Linked DNA regions of Danio rerio. The protein of the gene in region 3 purifies or fractionates together with the protein of the main gene of each other region. This does not show direct contact. Links are inferred from orthologs where the notes say so. Each region holds a gene or a part of one and is shown on either strand. Other genes may lie near its edges.

Region 1 (4,260 bases), on a different chromosome or scaffold from region 3:
TTATACATCAAATGTGCATTCCAAACTTTTTCTTGATTGAGAAGAGTTGAATTCTTCCATCATTTGCAGTGTTTCTAAATTGCATTATTAATAATTTCTAACAATTTTTTTTATCAGTTTCATCTATTATTTTCTGTAAAGCTGCTCCTGACCATGATATGTCCACATTAAATGGTCATAAGAGATGTGTTAAGGGATTATTTGAAGCATCTTTAATTTATTCTCTTAGGTAAGGAGAAAACTCCACTTAAATCAACTTAGAGGGAAAATGTGCTTAATGCATTATGAAGCTTGAAGCATCAGAATCAGTACTCCTGTATCAACACAATAAACAAGGAATCGGTACTCATTATCAGCTGTAAAAACCCTGATCTGAGCATACCTAGATCACATATTGCAAAATAACCACACATTATTTATATATCAACAACATGAAACAGGAAATGATATATAGAACAGAGAGATGATACACAAAACACTCTTGGCTCGTGTTACAATCAATATGGGTTAATAAAATATATATTTTTTTATCATTACTTGCTTTTGCCTTTGATACAAACTTAATATAATATATAGTTTAAATCTGACGTGACTAGCGCACTTCAACAACATCATGTAATGTGTAATATTTAAGCATGAGAATAGTTGGTTTTTGTGGCTGTTTGAATGCATACAACCAAATGATCATCTACACCACAAGAGAAATTTAATTCAAGGTGATTTCCAAAACTCTAAATGTGGTTAAGGTAAAAACATCCAGTTAAATCTGTGTCAGAATTGTCCACTCCAAACAAAATGCATTCTAATACCAGGTCACAGCTTGAACAGGGTTTCAAGTTAGGCCTTCAAGAATGTGCTGACGTACTAGCAAAGTTACTTATAGTCTGAAGAATGCCTGTTGATGGAACATTCAAACAGATATTACGTGGTCTTCTAATCAATGCACTAATAACTACATACTGACATATTTCTGTAGTTTAGTTATAGCACTAGTAGTTTATTAATCCTGGTTTCTCCAGACTCAAGCCAGATCCTATTTATGTGCCCAATTTTGTATAAAATCTCAGAATTTATGCAGAATAATTTTTAGAGTATAGTTAATAAACCTAAACTGAAATTTTATTAAAAAAAATGTTACCATACTTGGTCACAAGTGACAACTTTCTTTAAAAAATAAAAATTGTTTAGAACTTAAAAAATGTGTTAGAATTGCTGCAGGGATTCCTCTGTCTCACACACACACACACACACACACACACACACACACACACACACACACACACACACACACACACACACACACACACACACACACACAGTGAAGATCTACAAGGACATGCGTTTTTGATCCTTGCACTGAATTGTAATGGACAACATGCCATTTAAAGTCACACCTAATGACATAAATTTGTGCTTTTGCTTTGTTTTGATTTCTTTTGCCAATGTTGCATTCATATTTAAGTTGAACCACACAAGAATCATTTCAGTTTGTTTAGTACACGCCACGATTCAGATGGCAGATTTACCAGAATCTACACTCATTCAAATTAACTGCATAACGAAATTACAACTCAGTTTTAATCGAACCAAACCTGCCAAGCCCAAAAATATGCCTAAAAATATGTGCAATAATACATTTTTTGGTCCACACACAGTACTCTTTCGAATATTGGCACATCAAAGTAAATGTTTAATCCCCTCAATAAGATTAATAACAAATCAGCCTTTTCTGCAAAAGGACAGACTGGTTCACCAACAAGTATTGATGATTGAGGTAAAGTTGGTTTTACATTAACACATTCAGACTTAATAATATAATTTCAAAAAAGTATTACTTGCAAATTCCAAACAGTGAAATTATATAAGCAGTCAATGACTAACCGTGTTCACAGTCAATTAAATAGTGCTAAGTTGTTTTGAAGTCATCCTTGCAAGCGATTTTAGACCGAATATTCAAAGTAGCGTGGTAAACAATAAAGGAACCGTTAAAGTGAACGAATGAGCGAATAGAAAACCAACTTTACCTCAATGTATCGATGCATAGGAATAGTGCAATAATAATGAATGCAGGCTGTCAGCCCCAACACCTGCTTACACTGAGGAGGACAACATATCACGCAGTTATGAACTGAAACAACTTGACGTTTAACAGAAATGTAATTTGTTGAAGGGACATTCACTCCAAGACTCAAAACATGCTGTCGACATCTTCTCTAACTTCTGAAAAATAGGTTTACATAAATAAAGCACTCGTGTTTTAATCGGATCAGCTGATTGTGTTGGTGAGGAAAGACTGTAAAGTAATTTAATAGACATTAAACTTAACATTCACTACATGAACTGTTCTTGTTTTAAAATGACTAAAAGCATCTTTAATCGTTAATACAAGCCGATTAAAATGAAACGTTCCTTCGGCAATGTTAGCGCAATTAGCACATGCTTTAACGGGACAGCTGGACGACTTGAATCAAAAAGTCTGTCAAAACCACTAGTACATTTTAATACGTTACATATTTATAGTCAGCCTAACGTTAATCCTGCAGGCCTCTTCACTTTCACCCTGATCTGCGATCAGCTTCCTTGTGCTAACACGCTAACCGTGTTGTGCTAGCTTAGATTGAACGTCAAAACGTCCCTCTGCTCTCTATAAGCGCCCTGCTTTAACATTCACTCCCTAAAAAGAAACGTCATTTACATATTAGAAAGTATACGAGTCATACCCATTTGTTGTAGACTGGAGAGAGAAATACTGGCCGTGTGTTTTTAAATTTCTCACAAGACCCTCCCGAGTTCCTCCAGCTGAGGGCAATATGGCGTCGACTGGAGAGGAACGTCATCTCCTCTGCTGTTTCCGGTTTTCTCGAGCGGCCTCATTCAATAACAAATGAAAAGTGAAACGGCCGATTGTTGGTGTTTGCTTATTTACTTCTGTATAGGTAAGTAGCATACCACTGGCGATTTAAATGCATTAGTAGGACTTTTTGTTATTGTTGTACATGAAGCGATTATAAGAAGGGTTTTGGCGGGATACATGTTATTGTGTAACCGACTAACGTTAGTTAAGTTAACTGGTTTTCTTTGTTGACAGTCAATACACAACGTCGCGTCAGGTGCATCTTGATAAAACCCAGGTTTCTGCTTAACTGAGGTCAAATCGTCACGTCTGAGTTTTGTAATAGTATATACATAATCTAAACAAAAGCTACACTTACATAAATTTGTCGAAATAAAATGTCAAGTAATGTCATGTAACATAATATTTGCTATATATCAAATATTATGACAGCATTTATATCACATAACTAGTTAAAACTTAGAATAAACTAATATTACATTTCCTCCAATAACTGTTTGAGTCTTTAAGGATGATTTTGTCATTTAGATGTTTTTTTCTCTATCAGGGTCTTAAAAAGTCCTAAAATGTCTTAAATTAATTAAAACATTGTCTTGTAGTAGGTCTTAAAGTATTTTAAAGAGCTCTTCATTTTCATGTTACCTAACACTCATCCAATCACCAACGATCCATCTAAAAACTTTTAACAAAACTCTTATTTCTAACTCTACTTATCAATATGGTTTAATTATCTTTCTTACGCTAACATTTTCTCAGTTGTCTGTGCATTTATAGATCATATGAGGAGGACACTGATCTGGACAGAATGTTGTGCACACATATAGATTATTATAGTTTTTTGTTTTAGTTTTGTTTGTTTGATTGAAAAAAGTTATGTTGAAAAAAAAGTATATAAACAACCAAAAATGTGTGGCTAAGAAATGTTGCTGGTTTGTGTCCCGGCTGGGCCAGTCGGCATATCAGTGTGTAGTCTGCATGTTCTCCCCATGTTGGCGTGTGTTTCCTCTGGGTGCTCCGGTTAAAATATGCGCTATAGGTGATTTGAATGTACTACATTCAATTGCTCATAGTTTGTGAATGTGAGTGTGTATGGGTGTTTCCCAGTACTGTGTTGTGGCTAGAAGCACATCCGGTGCGTAAAATTTATGAATAGTTGGTGGTTCATTCTGCTGTGGCGACCTCTGAAATAGAGACTAACGAATGAATGAATGAATAAATGTGGCAAAGAAATAACTAACTAGATTTTTTGTAAGGGGCAAGTAAACATTTTTTTCCATGGGACATGGATAAGGTTATTTTCTAAGGCCATTAGAAAATAACCTTAGTGTTTAGGCCTGTATAAGTCTGCAATTTCATTCATAATTGTCTAAAACAGTTATTTTAAAAGTATTAAATTTTACTTCGTG
Region 2 (4,112 bases), on a different chromosome or scaffold from region 3:
TCTGTGTTGAGCGATTTGTTTTTATAGCTTTTGAGACGTGCATTGTCCTTCCCTTGACTCATGATGTTGTCTGCTGTAAAGAGACGATCAAAGCAAGATGAGCACAATAGAAAAATCATCAAGACTTATTAAAATACTTGCTTGATCTCTGCTAGATCACAGACCTCTTGAAAAGATCATTTAATGTCACTTGTTTCCATAGGCAGTGGAGACACACATACACACAAATTTTTACATCCTGCATTAGTGACAAAACTAATCTGACAGCAACCTTACTGAAAGGTCCTGTTATGACATTTTAATATACCTTGTTAAATAACATTGAGAAAAGTAAACATTTTAAGAGAAACCTATCCAGAGATTAACTATTCACAATTAGGAACATAAGATGCATTTAGAAAATAAATACATTGAATTTTCTTTTAATTTCATTTCAAGTTTTTAGCTTTTTCTTCACATTACTTTTATATTATTCACAATTAAATATATATATATATATATATATATATATATATATATATATATATATATATATATATATATATATATATATGCACAATATTGGAAAAATCTAACAATGCAATATTTTTTTGATTTTGCCATATAAATGAAATTTTCCCAGATGACTTAATATCTTTATTTTTGTCAAGAATTTATAATGTTAGATCGATTGGGATGATTCTGTAGTGGGAGAGCATATAAACAGTTTCTGTATAAACAATTTCTGTATTTGCATGTGCTGTGTTGTGAGTATTAATGATGAATTAATTTTTACTATTTGCATCCCTATAAAATCAAATAAACAATCTTTACATTTTTAGGGTACCTACCCAGACACATTTTTGTTGTGGTCTGTGCTATTTGCAGTGCATTTCTGTATATGCACTTGTGAGTATTTTTATTCATAACAATCTATTAATACAATCAACAAACTTCAATAAAAATAATCGTAGTTAAGGTCACAAATTGTGCAATTTCTTATAGCTGAATGCTTTTGAAGACATTATACAATCACAGGCATAAACAAAACATGTGCAAATGATACATTTTAATACAAACTACAACAACATTGCATATCCTGCGATATGACTATTGCGAATGATCACATTGCAATATTGATCGAAACGATATATTGTGCAGCCCTAATACTAACATTATTCTATTTTAAATTATTACAATTGTCTTGCTGATAAATCTGTAAAAAAGAAAGAAAAAAGTTTGAAATGTAAATGAATTATTATTTTTTGCTTCACTGTAATCCTTAAATTGGGTTTTATTATGTCATTGAAAGATGCCCACAAAACCTTTTATTTCTAAATTTTATGCTAATATGGTGAAATCTGACAAACATACTTTATCAACAGAGTGATAAAATAAGACATTCAAAATCCCTTTTGCATATGCCAATAATATGAAACAAAAATTAACCAGTGCTCAAAATTGTATGTTTAAATTTAAGTACATCAGCCCATTTTGAGTTCGACAGGACCTTGCTTTAATATGAAACCTGAACATTTCAGACACCTAATGGATCATAAAACAATTAACAATATTGAGGAAGTATGGTGATATGTATTAATTATTATTCACTGGTTTAGCTATTTCTACCCTGTTCAACAGTGGTGCTTTGGCCCAATATCTTCAAACTATTTATGTTTCTTATTTATTAGTAGTAGTTGTGGCAATGTTTTCTATTTTAGGACTGCACTGTTATCCTTACATACAGTCTTCTAATACATCGTCAAAAGACTACTGCTTTAAATGTGTCTGACATGATTTCTGGCATGTAAACAGTTTGGTGTCTTCTTTAAATCATGGTAAAAATGTTTGTTAAGACTTTTTTTTTCTAAACTATATATATTTTTTCTATTTATAAATTTAGTCTATGATTTTATTTTGTTTGTTTATCAGACGGTTTTCAACATGTCAGGCAAATTTCTAAATGCTTTGACACTATTTTTGATAAAAATATTTCATAAAAGATAAGGATTAAACGCAAAGCTTGAGCTAAACAACCACCACGGACGATAACATTTATTATTTATTTATCTCTAGCCAGTGTACCTGTGACATTTAGTCTCAAACTACTAAAAACAATATAAAACAGAGGCTGCATGGATCTGTCAGTGTGTTTTGGGCAGTGGTGCTAGAGCCCGCAGTGAAGAGGATCGACCCATCAAACCATCCACACCTAAAAACAGCCGCCAAACGCACCAATCTCACCGATCATCGCATCACAGAAGCGGAAACGATCGATTCAAGTTAACAAAATGTCATTTTTGCTCCACACGAGCTAGTGATCATCGACTGAAGAGCAGGTTTGTTAGTAATATCGTCTTAACAGCGGACTCGCCTCCCCCTCCCAGATCTGCGCAGCAGCCTCTGTTAGCTTATCTGCTAACCCAGCCAACAAGGTTGTCCGACTAACGCCTTTTATCTGTGTTTTAACATTATAATCTTTTGAATTTGACATCATGTAGACGGAATAAAACCAGACAGACACAAGTTATCCACACTGGCGTACTGACCTGTCAAAACGGCCTCGTTTATCCCTGCGTCGTTTAAGCTGCAACCGTTCAGCCTCCGCCGGTATAGTGACACTGCACATGCGCATTGTGAGAGGACATCGTGTGCGAAGCGCATGTCTGCTTCTCGGTGTTGCCAGTTCTGTGTAACGAACAGTGTTGCCATCTCCGCGCTTTATAAGTAAACATTATAAGCTTATATACATATATTTAAAAACAAATACATAGCTTATAATAAATTATCTATGTAGATACCTTTTATATCACATAACTCATTTTGTAGCATTCATACAAATCATAAAGCATATGCCAAAATAATTGGCAGTTCATTTCGCTGTGGTGACTCCTGATAAATCTATTATTATTATTATTTTTATGATTATTAATAATAATAATAATTGCTTTCGCCTCACAGCAAGAAGGTTGCTGGGTCGCTGGTTCAAGCCTCAGCTTGGTCAGTTGGTGTTTCTGTGTGGAGTTTGCATGTTCTCCCTGCGTTTGCGTGGGTTTCCTCTAGGTGCTCCAGTTTCCTCCACAGTCCAAAGACATGCGGTACAGGTGAATTTGGTAGGTTAAGTTGTCCGCAGTGTATGAGTGTGTGTGTGTGTGAATGAGTGTGAGTATGTTTTTTTTTAAGCCAGAAAGAAAATGAATGGATAAATGAATGAAAATAATAATAATATTTTATTATTATTATTAAGTACATTTATTTATTCATATGAACGTCATTTTTATCTATTTATTTTGTATAGGCCAATCATATATAATTTAAATTGAATATCTACATCTCATCTTACTTATTTGTTTACTCAGTTGTTTTACACAGTGGATGGCTGTATGCCTTTCCAGCTGCAACTTAGCACTGAAAGTACAACACTCAATGCTGGGAAACAACCACAGACTCTCCCATTCACACACATTTAGCCAATTTAGTTGATTCAGTTTGCCTATAACTTCACCTACATCTTTGGACTGTGGGGGAAACCGGAGCACCTGGGGAAAACTCGAGCAAACACAGAAATAGCCACACAGAAATAGCAACTCAAACAAGCAACCTTCTTGTGGTGAGGCAACCATGCTAGCCTCAGCCAATGTGCCATGGCTGAATGAATTGTTATCATATACACATTCATTCGTTTTCTTTTCAGCTTAGTCTCTTTCTTAATCAGGGTCACCACAGCAGAATAAACTGCCAACTTACGCAGCAATATGCCAACACAGAAATGCCAACTGACCTCGAACCTTCTTGCTGTGAGGTGACATCGCTACCCACTGCGCCTCCATCATATACACATATGTATTTTTATTATTTGTATAAAGAAATATATGTGAACAGTAATTTATAAATACAGTAAATCCTTTTGTTCATGTATTATCATCATATCACTTTTCCTTTATTCTTACATAATCACTCCTTTTGTAAAATTATTTAACAATGTTGGTTTATTACTCTCTTTTTGTTTTTATTGAGTCACTTTGAATGTTGTTTTTGTATTTTTGTATAAGTGTTTTTGTAGGCATGTTTTTCCATCAAAATCTGGCAACATTTAATCTTTTCATCCGCACCATATGATGCTTTCAGTGTTT
Region 3 (3,656 bases):
AAATGTATTGTTCTACTGTACGTTGCCAGCAAAAGTGTGTGTGGATGTTTGTTTTGTGCTATAACGTTTTACATCACATTTTATTTCAACTGCACACAAGCAACAAAAGCACAGATTCTGAATTCTATTTTTCCTTTTTACAGCCAGTTGTGTACTACCTGGTGAAGTGGTGCTCTCTACCCTATGAAGATGCTACTTGGGAGCTGAAGGAGGATGTTGATGAAGGCAAAGTGGAAGAATTCAGGAAGATTGAAAGCCGCCAACCACGACTCAAGAGAACTGTGAGATACTGTTTTGTCTGGCTCTTTCTCTCTTCTCACTGGATCATTTTTATCCTGCCTGTATTTTTTGGTTTTCATTAAGAAACAAGACGAAACCGTATGAATTATTAACAAGTCTTGCTCTTCCATCAGCCTCGGCCTGCTGCAAGTGCCTGGAAAAAGCTAGATGAGTCCACCGAGTATAAGAATGGGAACCAGCTCAGAGAATACCAGCTTGAGGGAGTCAACTGGCTGCTCTTTAACTGGTACAACAGGTAAATATATAGCTTATTCAACTTTTATTTGTCCACCCTTTACAATTGAGGGCATCCACACCTTTTAACAGTTTCCTTTTGCATTAAAGGTCCTTTGAAGTTAAAATAATGTTTTTAGATAATAGTATGACTGTTAGTTTTAAGAATACCATACTTATATCATCATATCATTAATATCGTACGCCTCATACTTTAGTTTCTCTTCAAATCTTCCGACCAATCATTAGCTCTCGACTCCTCTTCAACATGCTTTTCATTTGATGCGATCGATCTCAACCACTGACACCGGCAGAGCTGTGCTTAAAACAAAATGCTGTTGGCTGTTTTTTATATAAACAGGAGGAACTACTATGTCCTGTCATAATTCATTTGAGATTACGTCAAGTTTAAATGCACAGTTCAGAGCACTTCACAGGACTCATAAGTTGTGATTTTACAGAAGGTTAAGCTTTTCAGCTTTGAGGCTTCGTTAAACTTCTGTAATCCTAGTTGACAAAATAAAAGCATTTTTACATTTTCAAGCGTTCTCTTCCAGGAGATTGAATCAAAAATATTGATGATTCATTTCCTCTGCTCAGGGGTGCATAAAATGCTCTCTAGAGTGAGATTGTTCCCTCCTTCTCAATTATAAATACCACCTGCCACTGATCCAGCATTACAACAGTGAGCAGACAGTTGCTTGGCGATACACACCATAAGTAAATAATTTGACAGCCTACTATTTGGACACAACAACGGCCTCCTGGTAATTCTAGTGGGCGTCCTTATCAAAACAGTCACCCTGGGTTCTTTGTTTGAATTATGGCCTTACTCAAATAACTGATGCTGGCACATTTTTCTTATTACCATCTGAATCTGGCTGGACTGCAGGAGTAGGTGAAGATGTTGATGAGAATTCGCTGCAATTTATTATGAAGTCACCTAAATGATTCTGTCCATGATTCAATTTAGGCCTGATGTTAAATAAATTTTGTGGAGTCAGTAGTGGTTAATAAAGGGCAGATAATGAAAGGATTTGCAAAACAGCAGGCTACAAGTGTATGAGAAGAATGATGTTTCTCTTTTTCAAATCTTACACGGTCTGTTTTGTATTCGTGACTTCCCACACAGGCAAAACTGCATCCTAGCGGATGAAATGGGTCTGGGGAAGACAATTCAGTCCATTGCCCTGCTGTCAGAGATGTTTTCTGCGGGGGTCCAGAGCCCGTTCATGATCATTGCCCCTCTGTCCACGATCACAAACTGGGAAAGAGAGTTTTCGAACTGGACTGATATGAATGCTATTGTTTATCACGGCAGTCTGGCTAGTAGACAGATGATCCAGCAGTATGAAATGTACTGCAAAGATGACAAGGTTGGTGTATGAATTTTTTCTTTATTCGATTCGTTTGATGGCTACAGCAAACAAAAATCTCTTGGAGAAAAGATCTTGGGAATGTTTTAAAGTATTTTTGAGGAATATTGAAAGGAATATTCAAACCTGTAGATTTTGACTTTGATTTTGAAAACAGGGACTTTAATTGCTACAAGGTTGCATTTTCTTTTTTGTTTGTTCCTCTTTTACATGGCAACATTTTAAAGCATGTAAAAAGAATTAATGGTAAATGTTTGTACATACATTTTGCTTTCCTCTACATTGTCTTTTAAGATGGAGATGTTTTATTGGGGTCAATAAAAAGGTTTTTACTGTTCATTCCTGTTTTACCTGTAAAAATATAATTTAAAATGTTATATACAATGGAAACCAGTGCCTCATTCATGCAATTCTCAAGTTTAGAGTAGTTAACAGTTTAATGGCCTGTTTCCACTAAGTAGTACGGTATGGGTTGGTATGCTTTTATGGCTGTTTCTTCCACTGTCAAAAGGTACCTGAAAGCAAATCGTACCGTACCACTTTTTGGGTATCCTTTCCAAAGGCTACCTAGCACAACAAAAGGGTACCAAAAGGCGGAACTGAATGTTATTGGTTCAAAGAGATGCGTCACTATCGCTTGTACAAACCAGGAGAACGAAAACAAAGGAAGCGCCATTTTTAAAATACACAGCCAAGGGATTACTTCGTGATAATATATACATATAATAACGAGCCATGGTCGACCCAAGCTCAAACAAACCTTGTCGTCGACTTGATGAACAGCCACAAAGCCAAAAAGATAAACCATGCGAGAGTGAAGCACGAAAAAGCAAGAAGTTTGAAAAAAGCATCAAATGATTCTTTCAGCAACCTAAAACATGAATAAACTGCCTTGTTTAACTATTATCATCACCTTTTGGACTATTATGAACTCAGAATTATGGAATTACTCTCTAACAGAGCCTACATGTGCTGGTAAAGATTATAGACACAGATGAGAGGTTTGCACTGACTGGGGGCAATGTTGCGTGTTGTTTTAAACCAAATAAGGACTAAATGTATGCTGTGTGTAGTTTTTTTGTAATTGATAATATATTGGAGACTGTAACTGTCTGTATGTGTTCATATATGCTGCATTTATTTATTTATTTTATGCAATTGTGGACGTTGCAGAAGTTGCTATTTTGCACATTGATCAATGATCTGCTGTTATAATCAAATCATGTTCATCGAACAATTGCTTCTCATATGATATGTGAATGACCCATACAGCTTTACTTTGACATTTCCTCAAGCAAGAATAACGTAGACTGAAACTTTGTCGTACACCACTCCCACCAGAGGGGTATCCGAACCGACCCACTTAGTGGAAACGTGCATTAGATGATGTCCTCTCTTTAAGTATCATACCCTGTTTCTTTTATTTAACATTTCTTTAAATTAATTATGAATTATGATACTTGTTAATTCATTGGCCTTATCCAAACTTTTGTTTTAGGGCACGTCCAGGTGTGATTGCTGTGTTCATATATTTCTTAACAAACCAAACTAAGGGGGGGAAAAGCCCAGCAGATTCTGAAAGTTGAAGTACAAAAGTGTCTAAAACTCAATAAAAATAAAATAAACCTGAATGGAAAAAAAAAATCAAAACACACAAAGAAAACTTTAAATGAAAACATAATATAAAAATCTAAAAGTTACAGAAGTAATGTGGTAATAAAACAAAGCTAACACTGCTGAGCACAAGTTATACAAGTTCCTTTTATT

What was found.
Region 1: the proteins of chd8 (region 3) and kpna5 purify together in Homo sapiens (affinity purification with mass spectrometry; 3 studies listed by BioGRID and IntAct, with this or other methods). This does not show direct contact. The link is inferred for Danio rerio from reciprocal best matches to the Homo sapiens genes CHD8 and KPNA5.
Region 2: the proteins of chd8 (region 3) and kpna1 purify together in Homo sapiens (affinity purification with mass spectrometry; 6 studies listed by BioGRID and IntAct, with this or other methods). This does not show direct contact. The link is inferred for Danio rerio from reciprocal best matches to the Homo sapiens genes CHD8 and KPNA1.

What each region holds. Positions count from the first base shown.
Region 1 is NC_133191.1:35,382,223-35,386,482, forward strand, and holds the start of kpna5 (importin subunit alpha-6), read right to left. Parts: upstream 2,823-4,260; 5' UTR 2,725-2,822; coding exon 2,721-2,724; exon of another isoform or gene 2,672-2,720; intron 1-2,671. UniProt on the Homo sapiens protein: Functions in nuclear protein import as an adapter protein for nuclear receptor KPNB1. Binds specifically and directly to substrates containing either a simple or bipartite NLS motif.
Region 2 is NC_133199.1:24,834,077-24,838,188, forward strand, and holds the start of kpna1 (importin subunit alpha-5), read right to left. Parts: upstream 2,864-4,112; 5' UTR 2,692-2,863; coding exon 2,529-2,691; intron 74-2,528; coding exon 1-73. UniProt on the Homo sapiens protein: Functions in nuclear protein import as an adapter protein for nuclear receptor KPNB1. Binds specifically and directly to substrates containing either a simple or bipartite NLS motif.
Region 3 is NC_133177.1:41,131,440-41,135,095, reverse strand, and holds part of chd8 (chromodomain-helicase-DNA-binding protein 8), read left to right. Parts: intron 1-143; coding exon 144-281; intron 282-413; coding exon 414-535; intron 536-1,645; coding exon 1,646-1,889; intron 1,890-3,656. UniProt on the Homo sapiens protein: ATP-dependent chromatin-remodeling factor, it slides nucleosomes along DNA; nucleosome sliding requires ATP. Acts as a transcription repressor by remodeling chromatin structure and recruiting histone H1 to target genes.